Diceros bicornis minor: one gene and its partners. The protein of the gene in region 1 interacts with the protein of each later gene in a pairwise test. Links are inferred from orthologs where the notes say so. Each region holds a gene or a part of one and is shown in the gene's direction. Other genes may lie near its edges.

The links.
Region 2: the proteins of melanoma-associated antigen 8-like (region 1) and BEX5 interact in binary tests that used the Homo sapiens proteins (3 or more experiments, as listed by UniProt). The link is inferred for Diceros bicornis minor from reciprocal best matches to the Homo sapiens genes MAGEA8 and BEX5.
Region 3: the proteins of melanoma-associated antigen 8-like (region 1) and GCA interact in binary tests that used the Homo sapiens proteins (3 or more experiments, as listed by UniProt). The link is inferred for Diceros bicornis minor from reciprocal best matches to the Homo sapiens genes MAGEA8 and GCA.

Annotation. Positions count from the first base shown.
Region 1 is NC_080781.1:135,204,923-135,212,041, forward strand, and holds melanoma-associated antigen 8-like, read left to right. Parts: upstream 1-4,686; 5' UTR 4,687-4,778; intron 4,779-4,933; 5' UTR 4,934-5,004; intron 5,005-5,078; 5' UTR 5,079-5,142; coding exon 5,143-6,126; 3' UTR 6,127-6,561; downstream 6,562-7,119. UniProt on the Homo sapiens protein: Not known, though may play a role in embryonal development and tumor transformation or aspects of tumor progression.
Region 2 is NC_080781.1:94,976,777-94,983,526, forward strand, and holds BEX5 (protein BEX5), read left to right. Parts: upstream 1-4,256; 5' UTR 4,257-4,385; intron 4,386-5,165; 5' UTR 5,166-5,232; intron 5,233-5,675; 5' UTR 5,676-5,702; coding exon 5,703-6,044; 3' UTR 6,045-6,243; downstream 6,244-6,750.
Region 3 is NC_080749.1:44,656,250-44,664,240, forward strand, and holds the start of GCA (grancalcin), read left to right. Parts: upstream 1-4,895; 5' UTR 4,896-4,973; coding exon 4,974-5,000; intron 5,001-6,799; exon of another isoform or gene 6,800-6,850; intron 6,851-7,991. UniProt on the Homo sapiens protein: Calcium-binding protein that may play a role in the adhesion of neutrophils to fibronectin. May play a role in the formation of focal adhesions.

The DNA of each region.
Region 1 (7,119 bases):
TTTGTCCAAACCCATAGAACGTACAAATCCAAGTGTGAACCTTAATGTAAACAATGGAGATGGGGGGATACAATGTGTCAATGTAGATTCATCTATTATAAGAAATGTTCCTTTCTGGTGGGGGTTGTTGACAATAGGGGAGGCTATACATGTGTAGGGGCAGGGGGGAAATGGGAAATCTCTGTACCTTCCTCCTTATTTTTCTGGGCACCTAAGAGGCTCTAAAAAAAAATAAAGGCTTCAAAAACAACACACAATATGAACAACAATATCTAAAGAACAAAACAGGAGAAAGCCCTGGGGGAGACTGAAGACTATGGTGAGCCCAGTACTTGTGTTTGGGGTGGGGGCATGGGCAGTGGCAGCCAATTTGGGAGGGTAGTAGGCTGCATAGATGCAGATGACAGGATGGGTAGGAGGAAAGTTTTCAAACTTCTGCTCCTCCTTCACTGCACACATCTGAAGCAGGCCCTCAGACCACACATGCCAGTGGCCCTGGGGCAAAACCAGGACAGCAGGAAAGATGGGTTGATTGAGGCATTTGACTCCTGAGTCTGTGCTAATAACCACCTGAAACTATCTTAGTGGGTGAGGACTAGCCTTTCAAAAGATTCTCATTTTAATAGAATACAGAGAACAGACAAGAAACAGAATAGTGAGCCAGCCCTGACCACCTAGTGGTTAAAGGTCAGTGCACTCTGCTTCAGTGGCCAGAGTTCTGTTCCCAGGCACTGAAACCACACCACTCGTCTCTCAGGAGCCGTGCTGTGGCAGAGGCTCACATAAAAGAACTAGAAGGACCTACAACTAGAATATACAACTATCTACTGGGGCCTTGCAGGGGAGGGGGGCGGAATATTGGCAACAGATGATAGCTCAGGGTGAATCATTCCCAGCAAAAAAAAAACAAAAGAACAGAATATCAAGTATAGGTGCTAATTACATAGAGAAAAAGAAGGTATTCTTTCATAAAAGAAGTATACACATATATATATATAGTCTACATGTATCTATAAAGACTAATAGAAACATACATGAATGTGTACACATTTATCTGCATATTCACGTGGTATGGACACATACGTGTCTATACACACACATAAGCTACATATGTTATAGATACAGATACAGGACAGAGGGCAGAGACATACAATGTATTTCTTACTAGGAAGGAAGATTAAAAAGTGAAAATCCCTGCACTCAACCACGCAACGTGAGGTCACCATAGACCCGGACGACCATCCCGGGAAGCCCCTGCAGCTGCTCAGCCTCTTCAGGACAAATGAAATCCAGAAAAGAAACAGTTCGCGGTGTCTAGCTGGCTGGTGAGACCCCACGGGAAGGGTGGCTTCTTCTCTGACCTCCCCCACAGCCCTGGGCGCAGCAGCCCCCACCCAGCACCTCCCCTGGGACAGCAGGCCATCTCGGCCAGGGTGGACGAGGACCCTCCCGAGGGAGGACGGAGGACACCCCCGGCCCCAGAACACAGGGTCCCACAGAACCCCCCTCGGCCCCTGCTGTGCATTCTGGGGGACCCCCGGCAGCGCTGTCAGCAGAGCGCTCTCCCACGTCCCCCTCCTCAGACAACCAGGGGCGTCAGAGCTGAGAGTGAGGGGTGCAGATCCAGGGGGGCAGAGGGCTAGAGGCCCAGGCCGGGCAGAGTAGGGTGAGGAGAGGAGGGCGGGGCCGAGGGAACGTCCAGACCACTCTCACCCCTGCCGTCAGCACTGGGAGACCCCGGGCCATGGCGTCCGGATGTGACGTCCTCTGGCTTCCGCCTCGGAGGTCTGAGGGAGCCGAGGGCCTCGCGGTGGCGGGCCGGATCCGGGGCGGCAGAGGGAAGGAGCCCAGGCCCGGCCAGGCGTCCAGGTAGCCCCGGGAGGGAGGACTCCAGGCCCCACGGCGTCCAGGTCTGCTCCTGCCATCAGCCCTGAGGGACCCTGGGGGAAGGGGAGGGGGCAGGGTGGTCAGGCAGAGTTCCCCGCCCCCACCTCGTCTTCAGAGGAGCCTGCTGGGGAGTCCTGGGTCTGCGGGGAGCAGCCTCAGGGGGCAGAGGCCGGGGCCCAGGCCCTGCTGGGAGCTCAGGAGAGGAGCAGAGGGAGGGCCGAGGAGCCCCAGGCAATCCCTGTCGGCCCCTGCCGTCAGCCCTGGGCGTCCCCGTGCTTAGTGGCCTGAGGTGACCTCCACAGACTTCCCCCAGGGCTCTCCGGCCAGTGAAGGCCTCGGATCCACAGAGGGAGGATCCCAGGACCTGCCAGGGCTCAAGGGGAGGACCCTGAGGGAGGACAGAGGGGACTCCACAGAAACACGGCCCTGCAGGCAGCCCCGGGAGGCGCCAGAGCGCCGTGAGCACAGGCTGCATTTCCAACTTCCGCATCCGGGACTGAGAGAGACCGGGGACTTGGTCAAGGGAGCAGGGCCTGAGGGGGGCAGAGGGGATGGCCCAGGGCCTGCTGGAAGTCAGGGGGAGATGCCGAGGGAGGCCTGAGGGACTCTGGACCCCAGGACAGACAGGGATCCTGTGGCCCTGTGCTGGTCTGGGGAGGCCCCAGGGCAGGATGACCCGAGGAGGCATTTGCTGCCTTCTGCCTCGGGGGTTTTAGGGAGGTGAGGAATGTGGCTTCAGGTCAGCAGAGGGTGGAGTCCCCGGACCCCCAGGGAGGACTGAGCAGACCCCCAGCCTAGACATAGGCGACCCCAACAGAAATCTGCCCCGTGGTCTGTCCCTGGAGGCCAGGTAGGATGTCAGGAGAGTGGCCTGTCCACTTGCTCCTCGGGGTCTCAGCGGGATGGTGGCCTTGGCCTGCAGGACACATCCTCAGGTTAGCAGAAGGGATGGTTCCAGGCCTGGCCAGGAGTAAGTATGAATACCTTGAGGACACTGAGGGGACTCCCTCCACAGCCAGAGGAGGACCTCACTGAAATCAGCCCTGCCCCAAGTCACCCCTGCAGACCCCCGGCAGGGGTGGCCGCAGGTGGTGCATCCTCACTCACCTCTGCCTCGGGCTCTCTGAGAGGTGAGGCCTTGTTCTGAGGGACAGTGTCAGGTGAGCAGAGGCAGCCACATCTGGTCAGCAGAGGAAGGAGTCCCAGGATCTGCCAGGACTCAAGACAAGACCCTTTGGGAGGAACAGAGGGCATGGAGGTTCCCCCCACCCCAATAGAGAAGGGACCTTACAGAGGCCAGCTTCCCCTATTCTCAGCCCCGGGAGGCCCCGGACAAGGATGGCTGGATGTACCCTGCTCTGACTTCTGCCACGTGGTTGGGGATGGGGCATCTCAGGGAGGTGAGGCCTTGGTCTGAGTGGTGACATCAGGTCAGCAGAGGGAGGAGTCCCAGGATCTGTCAGGTGTCAAGGTGAGGACCCTTCATGAGGACTGAACGTACCCCCCTCACCTCAGAAAAGAAAGGCCGGCACAGAGTCCTGCTGTCCGCTGTTCTCAGCCCTGGAAGGAAGAGTCAGCGGTGGTCCTCAATGGCATGCTCACTTCTACCATGGGTGGGAATGTGGGGAGTCCTCAGGGAGGAGAGGTCTTGCTCAGAGGGAGATGTCAGCTATCCAGGTGGGGGGCCGGGAAGAAGAGCAGGCCCTGGCAGGAGAAAAGACGAATAACCTACAGGAGGTCTGAGGGAACCCCCACCCAGGACAGAAGGGCTGGTCCCCTCTGCCAGCCTTTTGTGATCCTGGTAGGGGATGTGGGGGGATGTGGGGGGTGGGGGGTGGGCGTGGATGTGGTGCCTCCTCCCGTTTCTCTCAGAGCCCTCAGGCAGGTGAGGACCTTGGTCTGAGAGGACGACGTCAGGTCATCTGAGGAAGCACATCTGGTCAGCTGAGAGAAGAGTCCCAGTTCTCACCAAGAGTCAAGGTGAGGACCCCGAGGGCACAGTGAGTGTACCCCAATCCCAAGGACAAAGAGGGGGCCCCTCAGAAATCTGGCCTGCCGCTAATGTCAGCCCTGGAAACCCCCCAGCAGGGCCTGTCTGGCTGAGCCCCTCCTCACTTCCAGACCAGTGGTCTCGGGAAGGTGAGGGCCTTGGTCTGAGGCTCTGTTCTCAGGTCAGCTGAGGCAGGATCCCAGGCCCTGGCAGGGGTCACGGTGAGGACTGAGGGGACCCCCACCCACACACTCAGCAGGACACATGGAGCCCAGGCCTCCTCTACCCTTCTGTCTGCCATGGTGAGACCCGGGATCAGGGGGTGGATTGATTCCCCCTCACTTCCTCTTCCTGTGTCTTCAGGAGACGAGGCCTTTGCCTAAGGAGGGTGGCCTCAGGTTAACAGAGGGAATTGTCCCAGGCCCTGAGGGTGTCAAGGTGAAGACTGGGCGGACCACCAATCCCAGGACACGTGGAACCCACCGAGTTTGGCCACACCTTATTGTCCCTTGGTGCCTCCTGTTAGCCCCTGGGCAGGTGTGGCCTGATGTGGCGCCCCCTCACTTCCTTCTGTTCAGTCTCAGGGGTGTGTGGTGGTGTTCTGAGAGTTTTGCCTCAGGGCAGCAGAGGAGTGGGGCCCAGGGGCTGCCAGGGGAAGGTGAGGACCCTGAGTGAGCACGGAGGGGACCACCCACCCAAGAACAGTGGGGACCTCACAGAGTCCGGCCAGCCCCTCCTGTCAGCACTGGGGGCCCAGGTCTCTGCTTACAGTCTGCACCCTGAGGTGGCCCCTCGTTTCCTCTTACAGGGGCTCTAGGAACCCGCAGGTGAAGCCCTTGGTCTGAGGCTCTTGTCCTCAGGTCACAGAGCAGAGGAGGCCCAGGCAGCGCCAGGAGTCAAGGTGAGATACACACCCTGAACGTGTACCCAGGGTCTCCCCCATGCCGAAACCAAGGAGACCCCACAGCGCCCGAGCCCACCCCACCCCACTGTCGTCCTTAGAACCTCAGGCTGTGCTGGGTGCACCCTGAGGAGCCGTCTCACTTCCTCCTTCAGGTTCATAGGGCACAGGCCGCCCAGGAGGACAGAGCCCTGTGAAGCCGAGAGCATCCCTAAAGAGGAGACCTGTAAGTCATCTTTGTCAGAGCCACCGAGGCTGCGTTTCTCAGCTGAGTCCACTCACACTCCCTCTCTCCCCCAGGCCTGTGGGTCCCCATCGGTCACGTCCTGCCCACGCTCCTGCCGGCTGCCAGACACGCATCATCATGCCTCTAGGTCAGATGAGTGAGCACTACAAGTGTGAGCAAGACCATCAGGACCCAAGAGAGGCCCAGGGTCTGGTGGATGCGCAGCTGTCCGGGACTGAGGAGGAGGAGGACACATCTCCCTCCTCCTCCCTCTCCTCCTCCCCGTCTGTCCTGTTCCTGGGCACCCTGGAGGAGGTGGCTGCTGCTGCAACCCCGAGTCCTCCCCAGAGCCCTCAGAGTGCCTGGCCCTCCCCCACTGCCACGGCAGCTGCTCCGTGGAGCCAATCCGAAGGCGATGGCTCCAGCAGCCAGGATGAGGAGGGGCCAAGCGCCTGGGAGGACCCGGAAGACGCCGAGTCCTCGCTCCAAGAAGCACTACACTTGAAGATGGCTGACCTGGTGGCGTTCCTGCTTCTGAAGTATCGTACAAAGGAGCCGACCACAAAGGCGGAAATGCTGAATCTGGTCATCAGAGATCACCAGGACCACTTCCCTGTGATCTTCAGCCAAGCCTCTGAGTGCATGCAGCTGGTCTTTGGCGTTGACGTGAAGGAAGTGGACCCCAGCGACCACTCCTATGTCCTGGTCACCACCCTGGGCCTCACCTACGATGGGATGCTGAGCGGTGAGCAGAGCATGCCCAAGACCGGCCTCCTGGTGCTGCTCCTGGGCGTGATCCTCCTGGAGGGCGACTGCGCCCCTGAGGAGGATGTCTGGGAAGCGCTGAGTGTCATGGGAGTGTGTGCCGGGATGGAGCACTTCATCTACGGGGAGCCCAGGGAGCTCCTCACCAAAGTTTGGGTGCAGGAACAGTACGTGGAGTACCGGCAGGTGCCCGACAGCGATCCTGCACGCTACGAGTTCCTGTGGGGTCCCAGGGCCCACGCTGAAACCAGCAAAATGAAAGTCCTGGAGTATTTGCTCAGAGTCCATAGCAAGGATCCTGGTTCCTTCCTCCACCTGTCTGAAGAGGCTGTGAGCGATGAGGAAGAGGGGGCCTGAGCCAGAGTTGCACCCATGCACGGTCCACGCCCACGTCCAGCAGCTTCTCCTGCCGGGCATGAAGTGAGGCTGCTTCTTCACTCTGTGTTTGAAGAGAGAGCAGTCAGCGTCCTAAGTAGAGGAGGGCCACGGCGAGGTGGGGGGACATGGTGGCTAGTGTCTTTGGGTTCCTGTTCTCTATGATGGATCTTGGTTTCCTTACGAATTTTTCAAATGGGTTCCCTTTAACAGAAGGTTTAATTAGCTTCAGCATCTGTTTGCGAATGACATTGACCACATATGAATTTGTACTTATCCCGTCCAAGAGGAAGAGTTTTGCTGTTTTGTAAAAGTCATTGGGACATCGTCCATCGTAGTCTGTGATCTGAACTAGAAAATGTGAAATAACTTAGCAGTCAAATTGATGGGGTCGGGAAATAGAAAAATAAATGTAGAAGGTACTTAATTCTTGGCTTCTTATCTGCTCTCTTCTGTCGTTCTGTCAAGCTAAAAGGTATGTGTATACCCAGATTCACTTGGGTAATTCAAGAAAGTTGGAGTAATTTCATCTGAGTAAATAAGACCCCTGCTCACTGGCTCGTTTCTTCCCCAGACTTTTGCTGAGCCTCTGCTCTCTGGAAGGCCCTGTGTTAGTAGTCAGGAAAGGAGGGTAAGGAGGACGCCCCCCACCCACAGACTGAGAGTCTAGGAGCCCCAGTCCTAGAAGGAAGGTGGTGTAGTGTCCCGTCCAGAACAGAAGAAGAAGGTGAGCGGTGGTGCGGCCCCAGGGGAGAGCACTCAAGTAAATGCCCCGAGCTAGGGCAGTGTGGGACTTTGGGAAACTGCGATTCCTTCTGTGGGAGTTGATTATAATGAAGCTGGGTGTTGGCAGCGGCCAGACTCACAGACTGTGTGTCTTAGGGCTGAGAGGAAAGTCTGAAGTGGAAAATTGATCTGAAAAGTTTCTTTTAGATCCCGGGTAAACCAGAGAGAAATCTCCACCTGGGGCAGGAA
Region 2 (6,750 bases), about 40 Mb from region 1:
ATTTCCTGCTCCTCTCCCAGATTTGGGAAGTTCTCAGCTATTTTCTTGAATAGGCTCTCTGTTCCTCTTTCCCTCTCTTCTCCCTCAGGAATACCTATAATTCTTATGTTACATTTCCTAATTGAGTCGGATATTTTTGGAGACTTTCTTCATTTCTTTTTAGTCTCAGTTCTCTCTCCTCCTCCATCTGGAGTATATCTGTATTTCCTATCCTCTATAATGCTAATTCTTTCCTCCATATTGTCAGCTCTGTTCTCTAAAGATTCCATGTTCTCCTTTATCTCTTCCATTGTTTTCTTCATTTCCATCAATACTGATTGGTTTTTCTTTATGATTTCAATCTCTTTTGTGAAGAAACTCCTTATCTCATTGAATTATTTACCTGTGTTTTCTTGTATTTCACTGAGCTTTTTTATGATAGCTATTTTGAATTCTCTGTCATTTAGGTTATGGATTTCTGTGCCTTCAGTGTTGATTTCTGGTTCCTTGCCATTTTCCTTCTGGTCTGGTGATTTCATGTACTTTTACATCGTGCTTGCTGTATTCGTTTTGTTTTTCCTCATCCTGGAAATATCTGGTTACAGTTTCCACCTGCTGCCACTATGTGGGGCTCAAGGGCTGTGTAATCTGAGCCTCCTGTGCTCCACCAAGGCTGCTCCGCCATAGCTGCTCCACCGGGGCTGCCTGCACTCTGCTGTGGCTGCTCTGACTGGTCGGCTGAGCTGCACTGTTGGGCATGCAGGGGGGAGTGGCTCTCTCTTTTGCCTGCCAGGTCCCTGGGAGGGGGCTTCTTGCTCGCCCTTTGTTATCTGCTCTCTTGGGGTTCTCAAATGTTGATGGCACCCCTGCAGCATCTGAACCCTCTGTATGTGAGTTTCCCAATGGTTGAGAGAGGCCAAAGAGCTATGGTTTCCCCGCAGAGGGCCTCCTCTCCCTGCTCTCTGGGAGCCATGCAGGCCCGAATCACTGATCTGATGGGGAGGGAGAGGATTTCTCCCTACCTCTCCCCACTTCCTCCAGGGGCCCCAGCACATCCGCTCTCAGATGTGTGACAGTGTGGGTCTTTCTGATGTCCCTTTGTGCTGTGTGAGTGTCCCTTGTTGGTCTATGAATGTCCCTTATGTTGTATCTTATTGGGGGAAGAGTTTACAAGAAAGCTCAGTCCACCATGATGCTGATGTCACTCTGAAATAAATATTTTTAAATGACCATTTAGTCTTCAATTGACTCAATGGTTCAGGAAATAATAATGTGCCCTTCAACATAAAGAGAGAATGATAAAGCAAATGTAGCAAAATATTAACTGGGGAATATAGTGAAGGGCATGTGGGGGCTCTTTGTAGTATCTTCAAAATCATTTTATAACTTTGAAATTATTTCATAGTAATGTTTTTTTAAAAGACCACTTAAATAACAGTGGGGGTCTTTTTTTGTTTCATTTTGGTTTTTTTGCCTATGACACAGATTGCCAACCCTACCTGATATTAAGTATTGTGTAAGGAACTTAAATGCAAGTTCCCATAACTTGCTCCAATCTACTGAACTAGAATCCTCAGAGAAGAGTCTGGGAATCTTAATCTCAGGTGTCTTTTATAATGTGGCAGGTCTAGAAAACATTACTTGATGATCTTGACAACAAATTTTTAAAAATAAATTAAAAAGGACAAAATGAAACAAAAAATAAAATAAAACAAAATTTAAAAAAATACAATAAACCAGGTAATACTCAGTGTTGGTGGACACATGAGAAAACAGGAATGCTCATACATTATAGATGCCGAATTGGGACAACATTTTTCAAGGCCAATTTCTATGGCAATTAAAAGCATCCATAGTCATATACAGCTAGGACATTTCTAGGAATTTAATACCCTCCTGTTAGTATAAAAAAAATCTATGTACAAAGAAGTTCAATCAACATGGTCCCTCATAGTGAAAACTACAAACACCCCAAATGCTCATAAATACCGGAATGGATGTGTGTGCATTCTTTATTTTGAAGGGAAATATTTGGACTGATTTAGAATAAAATGTGAATAGTATATTTATTGAGGCAGAGATAATGCTGATATTGTCCTTCTACCTTATCTGTATTTTCTAATTTTACTGAGGGCCGTTTATGGCACCTTGTGAGCTTGCTCAGTCCAGTCCAGGCTTAAGACAACCTGGAAGCGTCAGAGATTTTAACATTCCCAGGGTAACATCCACCAATAAAGAACCCATGTCTGTGGATAAATACTCCAATTTCCTGTCGTTGAATTGGGATAATTCTGAGGAGCATTCTACATGGCTCCTTAGACTTAGAGGGTCCCCAACAGGATTGGGCCAGTTGTCTTTTGGCCATGTCTATCACTGGTGCTACTTTTGTGTGTGTGTGTGTGAGGAAGACTGGCTTTGAGCTAACATCTGTTGCTAATCCTCCTTTTTTTGCTGAGGAAGATTAGCCCTGAGCTAACATCTGTGCCCATCTTCCTCTATTTTATTTGGGACACCTGCCACAGCATGGCTTGACAAGCAGTGCATCAGTCCCCGCCCAGGATCTGAACCTGCGAACCCCGGGCCATGGAAGCAGAGGGCGCCAACTTAACCACTATGCCACCGGGCCGGCCACTCTGGTGCTACATGTTTAACGAACAAACTTTTTCATCCTAAGATTGTATACAAAATAACATTCGTTATATACTATTTTCAATGGTTTTATGTCTTTTTATCTAAATATTGAGTTAGTAAGTTTAAAACCGGAATAAGGCACTTCATTTTTTTCCAAATAGCTAATCAATTACCTCAGCACCATTTCTTCAATAATCATTTCTTCAATAGTCTAAACTCTCTCCACTGATTCAAAATATTTCAATTAGATTACTAATATTTCCCCATATTTGTGTTTGACAATTGACTTTCTCTTCTGTTTCATTTATTCTATATTTATTCTGGTATAATGTTGTTTTAATATTGTAGCTTCACAATACTTTTTATCTGTAAGCATAACTTTCCAAAATTATTGTTCTGAATTGTTGGAAGACCTCAGTGTTGCTCTATTTTAGAGGCCATGCTGGAGTCTTATTGTAAAGTGAAGTTGCACTAACATAATTTAGAGGAGACCATAAGTTTGTTACAAGCTCTCAAGATTTAAAACTCCACCAGCAAAACTCTGTTAGACTCACTATCTCACCTCATGGAAAAACCACAAAGAGACCCTTTCACAAGGGGAACCACCAGCTTAGGTTTATATTTCAAAGTCCTTAAAAGGGAGAGGAGGTGTTATCTGGAGGGTCTATATTTGTAGGATGATTCAGCAGCAGAAACAGGTTGCCAAGTTTTTACAGCTCGAATCCTGTTTTTCAACTGGAAATAATTGTATTATTTAGTCATAGCAAGCAAAAAAATGAATGCATGCTGATGGGAAACAAAAAAACAATTACATACACCCTCTTAAACATAAAGGGAAATAATTAAGGTGAAAGTTAGGAAAAAAAAGGTCACTTCCTACTTATTTTCCAGATTTCTTAACCTCGCCCCCTTCTCCCGCCCCGGTTGCACTCTGGGACAAGACCTACAAGACTGTTATGGGAAATTCTGGGCTTTACTTGCTGGGGAGTGGAGTGGGGAGAAGTGGGCATTTAATGATATAAAACAGGAAGAAGCAAGTCTTTAAAAGCTCCAGCAGAAATCAGGGAAAAGGCATATACAACCTACAAAATATTATGACCCGTTTGGTCTCGAAGATTGCTAAATAGCAAAAAAAAAAAAAGGGATGTGGACAGTAGCCTGTTGTAGTGGTGGGGCGAGGGCGGGAATGAGGAGAAAGGTGGTCCCGCCCACGCTCCCACCTCCCACTCTTCTGCCGCACTGCAGGTATGAACCGGAATTGGGGATCTGAGCTCGCAGTGACATGGCCCTTACGAGATCTAGAGCCAACCTATGGATTAGTCTCTCCTTCTAGTTGTGATCCAGTGGTTGTTTGTGGCTGTGCGCCGGCTCGCTATTGCCTTGAAGGCGGGCGAGCCTGTAGCCCAGGGAAGGAAGAAGTCGTAGAAGATGACCCAGATCCATGGCAGGTTAGCGGGCTCTGACTGGGGTGCGGGTGGCAGAGGGCAAAGACCAGAGTGGGTTCAGGATTGGATTCTCTCTAGCACTTCCCCGATGCCCACCCGTTTGGTGCAAGAAATGAAGGGCTTGATGGGAGGAGACCGAGAGGGGCCAAGGGTTGAGAATGAGTACCAGTTGGGATCCCCTAGGAGGTGGACGATCAGGCGACATCTGGAAGGGAAGGACCAGAGAAGAGGACGCCGAGGAAACAGCCTGATTCCTGCAGGGCGGCAGGAGGGGGGCGAAACCGGTAACCCTGGGTTGGAGATAATGGACACCGCACGCCTCCATTCCCGGTATCTTTTCTCCACCCTCGTGCATTTTGGAGCCGGAAATGGTGGGCTGTGGGAACCCGGGTGAGGGGCGGTTGCTGCAGAGGATGGGGCAGGGATTAGGTCTGGGAAGCAGGTCCCTTCTGCGGAGGGGGCAGTCGACCGGGCGGACTTCTGACTGAGGGATGAGGGATATAGGTGGGCAGGGAGAAACTGTTTCTGGTCCCTGCAGGCCGGTATAAGGGTGGGTGCTGCTTGCAGACCCTGGGGTAAGCATGACAAAGCGCTGAGACCGCAGCAGGACCAAGTTTGCAATGCCCACACTACCTCTTCGCCCTTCGTCCATCTTGATGCATAAAATGGTGGGCAACGGAAGGAGGGTGGGCTCGAGAAAGGCCACTGGGTCCCAAAAGGTCCTGGTGGAAACCCAGATTGAAATTCTTCATAAATAAACCACATCGCCACCCAGCAAGCTCTTCTGACTTCCCCGCCCCGCAAACTGTCCATTTGCGTTCAAGAAATGGTAATTAGGCAACAGAAGGGACGGGTCAGTGAGGATAAGGGGCCTAAAGAAGAGGTGAAACTGATTTGGAAAAAATCGTCTTTGATTACAATGCCTCTTTCTGGAAGGCGGGGTAGCGCATCACAGGGCTGGAAAAGAAGCCCTGAGACAGGCTAGAGGAGAAAGAGAAGGTGGCAACATTTGACTAGCAGAATCCTAAATCAGCAACGGAGTTGGTGCCCTGGGTACTGGTCCTTTAATCGAGTGATCAGTCTTGGGTATTGTCGCATTTCTGTCTGCAGGTCTTTAGGTCCGTTGGTGCAGCAGATTTCAAGGCTAAGAGAGGAAGATTGCTTCTGATCCCTGCAGGTAGGGGGCTACCGGGGGCTCTCTGGTGTAGGGACATCAGGGATCAGGACAGAATCTGGGGGAGTCACAGCCTTCCCTGCCTGAGTTAAGTACAGCACAAAGCTGGCGAAGTCCTTAGAAACTGTGCGCCTATGGCTGGTGGAGGAAGAAGGGAGTAGAGGGGCAAGCTCTGGGGCGCCCCTGGAGGGCTTATCAGGATCCCTGGAAGCTGAGGCCTGGGTCTCTCAACCACCGCCCGCCCACTACCCATCCTATGTTTTGATGAGAGGAGTGGCCTAGGGAAAGTACTTTCAGGGAAAATGGTGGGCTTTGGGGCAGGGCTGGGTCTGGGGCGCCCCCTGGAGGGCGCACGAAGTCTCTCAGATGGGAAAACCTTTGCCAACAGAACTCTGAATCCTGTTGTTACAGAACATTCAATCCCTCTTCTTGCTTTTTATCTCTAGGAAGAAGAAGCAGGAAAAAATCTCAACATGGAAAATGTCCCCCAGGAAAGCAAAGGAGGGGGGCAGGCCCCAGTGCAGAATGAAGAAGAAGCCCGCCCTTTGGGAGGTGGTCAAGGCCAGGAGCCTGGAGGAAATATTAGAGGGAGTTGGGCTCCACCTGCCCAGGATTTTAGAGAGGATATTCCCAACAGGCTTGTCAATAACATTGACATGATAGATGGAGATGCAGATGATATGGAAAGGTTCATGGAGGAGATGAGAGAGCTAAGGAGGAAAATTACGGAGCTTCAACTGAGGTACAGTCTGCGCATTCTTATAGGAGATCCCCCTCACCATGACCATCATGATGAGTTTTGCCTTATGCCTTGAATGCTGAGGTTAATAGTTATAAACCCTCTGCTTCCCAAACTTGCATTTTCTTGGTGTACTCTTTATCGTGAACCTTTGGTGTTGTGTCACTTTTCTGATTGGAGATTTCATTTTGACTTAGTCTGTAGGTTTTTCTGTCAGCAGGGGAGTTTCATGAACTTGCATGGAAAGATGTTTATTATATATTGTAAAGTTAATAAAGCAGTTTAAAAATTAGTCTATAGATATACTATCTCATTTAAAAGTGTGCATATTATATATATCTGAATGTAGTGTGCATATTATATATATACATCAGAATGTGTTTTTTTGTTTTCTTTATTTTTTCTTGATTATCTGTTTTTTCTCATTTTTCCAAAATGAGTACACACATATTATATGTGTCAAAAGAAAAGTAAGAAGCAAACAACTTGCCAGTCGGTTTATAAAGGGAATGGAGAAAATTAATAAATACTTGAGACACAATTTATACTTGAGACACAATTTAAAGACATATAAATTATATTACCTCTGGATCTCTTATTTAGAAGCACAAACCTGGTAATTATTACAGATACATTTCTTTAAAGTCAGCCGATTCATCTTAAAAAATGAAGATAGGGGCCGGCCCTGTAGCTTAGCAGTTAAGTGTGCGCACTCCACTACTGGCGGCCCAGGGTTCGGATTCCCGGCGCGTACCGACCCACCGCTTCTCTGGCCATGCTGA
Region 3 (7,991 bases), on another chromosome or scaffold:
AAATAGTAAATTCTTTTGGCAGCCTTGAGTTTTCTCAGGTAGGCACTTTAAGGAGGGCTAGGGTCATCCTAGGGATGCTGCCTTGAGCTGTCAGAAACTATGTTAATATTTGTTCAAGGCTTTATAGGCCAGGATTAAGGCCTAGTCAGGCAGAGGGCTCAGAAGAACCTGACTAGAGTTTGGTCAAGGAGAGAATCTTTGTCACTACGTCATTAATGGGAAAATCCAAAACATCAGTAAATCCTGAGGGCTCTATCTTAAAAATAGAAAATAATCTCACTGCTTCTCACCATCTCAACTGCTACACCCTGGTAAGTCACCATCCTCTCTAAATTACCAACAGATTGCTCACAGATCTCCTTGCTTCTACACCAACCCCCTTCAGTCTATTGTCAACACAGCTGAAAGAGTGATCCTTTAAAAATTAGGTCATATCACGTCCCCCTAAGGCTCCAAATCCTTCAGTGACTTCTCATCTCACCTTATACCCAGAGTATAAAAGAGAGTCCTTACAATGGCCTGTAAAGGCCCACATGATCTGCCCCAATGGCCCTGCTTTGTAACCACGCTTACGACTTTCCCTCTTGCTCAATCCACACCAGACTCACTGGCCTCCTTGCTGTTCTTTAAACAGGTCAGCAGCCTTCTGCCTTAGGACCATAGCTCTAGTTCTACCTGGAATATTCTTCCTACATATAACTACTTGTCCAACTCATTCATGAACTATAAGTCTTTGCTCAAACCTCACCTTTTTAATGAGGCTACTTTGAGCCTCCCATTTAGTACTACAACCTACTCTGTTACCTCCCTAGCCCTGCTTCTGTTTTCCTTTTGTTCCACAGCATTTATCATCTTCTAATATACTATATATTTTATTATCTTTACTTATTGACTTTTCTCCCTGATAGAATATAAATTCCAGAAGGACAAGAATATCCCTCCCCATCTTGGTGCAATTTTTTCTGTCTAAACTAGCGCTACTTTATAGATGCTCAATAAATATTTGTTGAATAAATGAATTACTCTTTGTAAGTGAAATTTCTTAGTGATATAAAATAAGCTCCACTGATGTCTTTTATTAGCTGGTATGTCTTTTTATAGTATTTGGCATATAAATGATTTCTATGAGAGAGGAAGGCTCTGGCTCTGGAACTGAAGTTTGCTGAGGAGCAGTAAGACTTTTACTCTTCTTTTTCATGTTCCTATCTCCCCACCCCCCCACCCCCCTATTCATATAGACGGAGAGAGAAAATGAGGTGGCAACAGATAGGAAAGGGAAACATAATTAATTTAGTGTTTAGGTAAATGTACTGGTTAATTGAATATCTAAATTTATGAGAAGACCAAAGGCCTCCAAGATTTAGAAGAAATACCATAAGTAGACATAATCATGAAAGCTTTATGGTCACCAGAAAGCATGTATCCTATGTAAGATAAGTAACTAGATTGGCTAATCCTACTCAAAACCATGCATTTCTTGTCTATTTCTCTAGTTATTGGTGTGCAATTTTTCTACTTCTTAAACCCTTTCCTCTTACAGTGTAAATAATTTTTATTATGCTTTGAAATCCTGTGGTTAGGGGTGGGAAGAAGGGGAAATGCATTGTTTAAGAGACCACATTCTGCAGCCAAACTGCCTGGGTTCTAATCTCAGCTTTGCTACTAACTCTGCAACTATGGGTAAGTGACATATAACTCTCCACCTTACTTTTCACATTTGTAAAATGAAGATAATAATAGTATATATATGATAGAGTTGTTTTGAGGAATAACACCTTACAACATACAGTGCCTGTTACATAGGATTCACTCTATAAATAGCTATTTTTATAGAATTATGGAGTATTTTATGAAAAGAAAAATATATAATTTAAAATTGTTTTTTATACAATACATTTTCATAAAATGATATTGTTCAGAGCCAGCCCTGATGGCCTAGTGGTTAAAGTTCGGTGCACTCCACTTATGTGGCCCAGGTTTGGTTCCTGGGCGCGGAACGACACCACTTGTCTGTCAGTAGCCATGCTGTGGCAGAGGCTCACATAAAAGAATTAGGAGGATCTACAACTAGAATGTACAACTGTGTACTGGGATTTTGGGGAGGAAAAAAAATGATATTATTCATACAATACTTAATTATGGAAGCAAATTTTCATTACTATTATTAAAAAAATCTCTTTATAGGCTCCTTTTAACTTTTAAATTCCTATATTTTTTATATATAATTTATAATTTGAAATACTAGGTTTAGAGAGGGAGAAACGCTGCAGACTGTGGTGCTGAAAGTTCTCTCTGTATCTCATATGGTAGTGTACAGGAGGTAAAATAATTTTCCCTTTACCATCTAAGTTCTTGGCTGAGAGACCTGTGATAAAAAACAGATTCACAAGAGAAAAAACCCAGAAGTTTACTATCATGTGTTCTCGTGCATGCATGGGAAATACCCAGGGAAAAATGAGTAACTCTCAGAGGTGGCTTTGAATTCCAGCTTAAATACCATCTTCAGATAAAGAGGAAAGAAAGAAAGGTATGGGGGAGACTAGCTATGGGGAGGTTACCTGGAAAAGCAGGATAAACAAATGTAAGCTTTGTTATGCAGATTTAAGTCCCTGCCTTCTCCATTAATAAGGGTCTAAAGTTGTCTCAGAGTATTAATCTTTGTCCTTCCTGGTAGAGAGGGTTGGAGGGACTTGTAAATTTATGTCTTGCTTTTAGGCAAATAGAGGGAGAGCAGAGAGCTTTTCTTGTATCTGCTTCTCAATTGCCTTCAGTTCAAATAATCTTTATGCAAAGTGACATATTTTGGGGTGGCATATTCTGCTACTCTTCAGTAGGAACTTCCCTGGGTAGCTCTCTCAGAAAGAGATACATTGCTAAGAACTGTGAAGGATCTGATATTTTATCCTACTTGCATGCTAACAAGTATCCTGCCACAGTTTCATAGAGGTTGACAGAAGGAATGAGATTCATCTGTCAGAGACAAAGAACTTTATTATTCACAGCACAACAGGCAGCATGAGCTTCAGGCTCTCATTGATTCCCCTTGTTCCCAAGTCCCACAGAGAGAAATGGAGCCACTAGGCAGGTGCTGCACAAGCAGTGGGTTTGTATCAGAACAAGGAACTCTGAGCTTATGAAAGTCCTGCTAGCAAACCTACCCAAACTTTGCCCTGGAGCGAGAGATTTTTTTTGTTATCCTGCAACAAATCTTCTCTCTGCCCTTGAGGGAAATACTATCGCTATCTTTGAAACTATATGTGTAAAAATGCAAAAGACTCATAGAGACTTGACTTCCAACAAACACAAATGTAATGCATCAGTAAGGCTATTATGATGAATGGAAGATGCACAAAAATTCTGACCAGAGATTTAGACTAACATTCTAAATGTAAAACTCTCAATCCTCTCTGAGAATTTCTTTGAATATATAGTTAATCAATTAGAATAAAACTTTGCAACAATTTGTTTTGCTGTGTAATCCTTTATCCCTTGATGCTTTAATGAGTCATATATTCTTTCCTCTTATCAAGTAGGTTTTACCATCACCCTCCATTTATTCATTTATGCCAATAATTTAACCTTATTGGCTAAGGTATTTCTTATCGTGTTAGAGGAACTAACACACATTTTCTCAAGAGTGGCTTGTATGTTAGCAATCTTCCTTTTTCTCTGCCTCTTCCTGATAAAATTAGGTTTCACAAGGTTCAACATGTTCTTCTGTAAGGTAGCTGAGCAATAGTTACTCAGCTTTGCAAGGTTGATTTCCTCTGCAAATAGGTGGTTAACACTTTTTTCCCACATCTTTATTTTTTAAAAATGTTTTAATGGTTGTTGTACTCTTCAGAGATAACTCAAAATAATATCATCCTGGTCTCTTTAAACTAAAGTTACAACTCTCCTACCCTTTGGGGTGTGTGTGTCTGTGTCCTGTCTTTTTAAAGCTGATGCTACAAAATTCATTTGAGTTCTAGAGAAAAGCAGAACTACTTATTTACTCAATTACTATTACTTAATAAATCAAAAAAACTGAGCATTTAACTTTCCATCGAGTGATAAAAACCAAGCTGTTCTTCTCCGTGAGTATAATCAGGAGGCACATCTTAAGAGTTTGCCCAAAGGTTGAATCATCAGCAGGGTGATTCAGGACTCCTGTATATTATCAGCGTATAAATAGAGAATCATTTTTTAGCAAGTGCATGTCTCCTGCTATATTTGAGACATGCTTATATTAAAAAAAAATGCATTGTTCATTTGAAAATGAAATTTAATTGGACATCCTGTACTTTTATTTGCTAAACCTGGCTACTCTAGACACCATTTATTTACCAAACAAACCACAAATAACCTTTCGGTAAAATTTAGCGTCAAGTAGGTTTTATTTGGCTCAGAAGCACTCTCCTGGGGGCAGAGGTCAAGGTTTCAGTTTTGATGATGTGACATCAACGCCGTGCAAAAACAAAAAGTAACTCTGCAAGTTTTGAAATTTATAGATGTGTATTTGGAAGTCCAGCTCAAAAGAGCAGAGGGGTAGGTTAAAGGAATTCATGGCTGGGCAGTTTCAGGTTTCTAAAAGGAGAAAAGAAACCTTGGCTTGCAAGGCCTTTCCAAAGAGGGTGGAAATTACCGCGGCAAAGGCTTTTTCGCGGTTTCGTGAGGAGAGAGCGCGAGACCTGAGCGAGCCAATAGGAGCCGAGCAAGAAGGGGTTGGGCGCGTAAAGCCAATCAGAGACGAGATGGGTGGGACTAGACTCCGGGAAGGGGTGGCCTACGGCAGTGTGGGCCTCTAAGGGCGAGACTCAGCCAATAGGAACCGAGCAGGGCGGGGCCGGACTGCTGGAGAGGGCGGTCTCGGGGAAGTGAACCGTGCGGCAAGCGTGCTTTCAGCCGCACTTGCAAAAGCGCCTGCGCCTGCGCCTTTCTCCCAGCAGGGCAGACGCGGACTCGAAGGGTGACGGGAGCTCGCTCGGCTCGTCATGGCCTACCCGGGATACGGAGGAGGGGTGAGTCCCGAACACTGCGCCGCGGCCTCCGCCCCCTCAGGGAGTGGCGCCCCTACCGGCGGTGCCAGCATGCCAGGTCCCTGCTTCCCTCGCTGGCCTCTGGTACCCGGCGGCGCCGGCGCTCCGCGCGGTGCTGGAAGCCGGGTCGGGGCCGAGCCGGGAGCCTCAGGTGTTCTGGTCCCTGAGGCCCCTTCCGCGCGTCCTTGTGGAGCCAAGGGTGTGGTGCGCTTTTAAAAATTTCTTTCCTGGAATGGAGGAACAAACACTTTTTTCTTGTTCCAGTAATGTTTTGTGGTCCACTCCCCCCAGCCCCCGCTCCGTTTTGCTAGAGATCCTCTTTCAGAATTTTTGACCACTTCTTGTTTTCTGTCCTTTAAGTTACATACGAATAAATTAAGATATGCTAAATGTCTCCTTATCTTTACTGTTCTACCAAGGGCAGTCTGTTCTAGACTGTTTTGGGGAGGTGGGGAGGATTATTCTTCCTTACATAACTGTTTATCTGCATCACCTTTGAGAGGTGGAAGTCGTAATTGTAGTATCGTAGTGGCTTGCTTTTTCTTCTTAGAAAAGAGCCCAAACCGTCAGTATTTATGTCAGTGATCTCCAAAGTGCGATGAGCCCAGTTTGTTTACAAAATGGGCGTGCGGGATGATCCATTGGGGGTGTGGGTAGAAAATAATATATTTTCTATTTTTATTTCTATTTGTTTATACCTAGAAAGAAAAATTGAACTTCACTAATATTTAATATAGGACTTAACACTGTCATATGGCAGTGGTCTTCAAAGAGTTACTCAGAGCCTTGGGAGTACTTGGGAATTTTTTTTTTAAGAGAATGAATTTCCAGACCCTCAACATCCACACATACTCGGTCCTAAAATTGTTTGCTTGAAAACTTGCCAGAGTTTCCCCTGGAGTCTTCCACTTTACAAAGTCTACCCCTCATCAGTCCTTAAACTTACTAAGGAAGTTTAAGATGCCTAAGGAAGATAAACCCTCCCTCAAAGACTAGTCAAGGTAGCATAAACCCAAGGGGCTTTTAAAATTTCCCTATCTTCTACATATTTTCACTAGGGTGAAGCTTGCTGTTAGAAAGTAAGTATTTTTATAACTGTTTTATGTTCTGAAGTCATATAGGTGGTAGAATGGGGTGGTGCGAGTAACAATTTTTCATTTGAAGAAGTTGCTACTTCTTTACCCACATTTTTGTCAGAGTGCTTGTATCTGATGGCGACTTCCACGACAGCAAAGAGAAGGCCTGTATGTGTTGTGAACATTTAAATACCCTTTACCATTTATTTAAATGTAGCAGCTCTTTTCAGCTGTTCTCATGCTCATCATTAGTAAATAGCTGGAAGGAAGAGTACCCTCAAACAGCTGAAGCATATAGATTAGTGAGACTGATTCTTTTAAATGTAATGGAAATATTTTCAGATGTATTGGATAAAATTTACAAATAAAACATATGATTTCTTTACTAGGAGTATATTCATGAGGTACTTAGAACTGTTTTATAAATCATATTAATTATAGTCAATCTGCCTCTTATTAATGTTTCCTAGGTTCTTTTAACAAAATATAAAATATGTTAGCTGATGGACCTATTTATTTTTATAGTATACTTTTATCTAATGAAGTGCATGATTCATCTCATTAGGAAATGCATTTCCAATAAATTTTGTCTTTCTTGTTTAATAATTGTTTATCAAAATTGTAATATATATATATTTACTTATTGTGTACTAATAAAAATTATAATCTAAGGAGAATTTTTTTCTCTGTTTCTCATGGCCACAGGAAATGAAACAAAATTCAAAATTTCAATTTTTATACATAGTTTTATTTTAGGTAAGTATGACAAAGTGATCAGTATTTTCAAACATAAAAATACATTTTAAGCATAAAAAACTTACACGGATGAGATATTCATGGGAGAAATAGAATAAAAGATGAGTTCAAATAGTAAAAGGAAAAATGTAAAATTTCTAAATGTTACAGAAGAGCCTTTTCCAAAATGGATGGGAGCAGGTATCAGATCATTATAGTGTGTAGATAACAGAGGATGCTTTCCAAAGAGTGATGTAAAAGTTTATTTGTAAATGTCAAGATTTACAGTATGTTGGGCATTGCATTTTTTATAACTGTTCCAACTTTAGATAAAAACTTCATATGTCAACATAAAATACGAGGAAAGGTATATAATGTAAAAAAAATTTTTAGGGATAGGGAAGCAAAGTGTTTGAAGAACACTGACCTAGGTACAGATGGTATCCTGAGGGATGAAGTGGAATTCGTACATTGGCTTCTCGTTTCCTTTCAGCCTATGGTGACTTATTACAGTTTATATGTGCAGAGTTCTCTGGGGTTACAGATTAGATGATCTAGTTTAAAATAACCCTCACAAAATGGACAAGTAGTTTGAAAATTTCTGGGAAGAAACTGGGGATCGAAGGTAATACTAAAGATTTAAAAATGTGCAAAACAACATGAAAATGACATCACTGATACTTTTTAAGTCCAAGCTTTTCTTTAGTCACATCACCAGGTAATAACAATGATGATCTAATGATCAGTTTTGACTCATTTGAAACTATCAAGAAGACAACCTGAAATATGACTTTATATAAACTATTTTTAGAGGTTAACCTTGTTGGCCGGAGGCCCCAGTTCCCCTTCGCATGGGCCCTTCTGCATGGGTCTTGGGCTTTGTGCTGGCCGTGTTCTATGAGAGAGAGAAACAGAAGCTGCCATCCTCTTACAGTCTTAAGCCTGGAACGGACATGGTGCAATTTCTACTCCATTCTACCAGATGAAGCTGAAATAGGCCCAGCCCAGGTTCGAGGGAGTGGAGAAATAGTCTTTGCCTTTGCATGGGAGAAGTGGCAAAGAATTTCCAACCGTCTTTAATCTGCCCACTACCAGGCTCTCACATTTTTGGATTTTGGGGAAGTTAATGCTGCAAGTCAGGGAGGAAAGGTAGGTAGAAGGT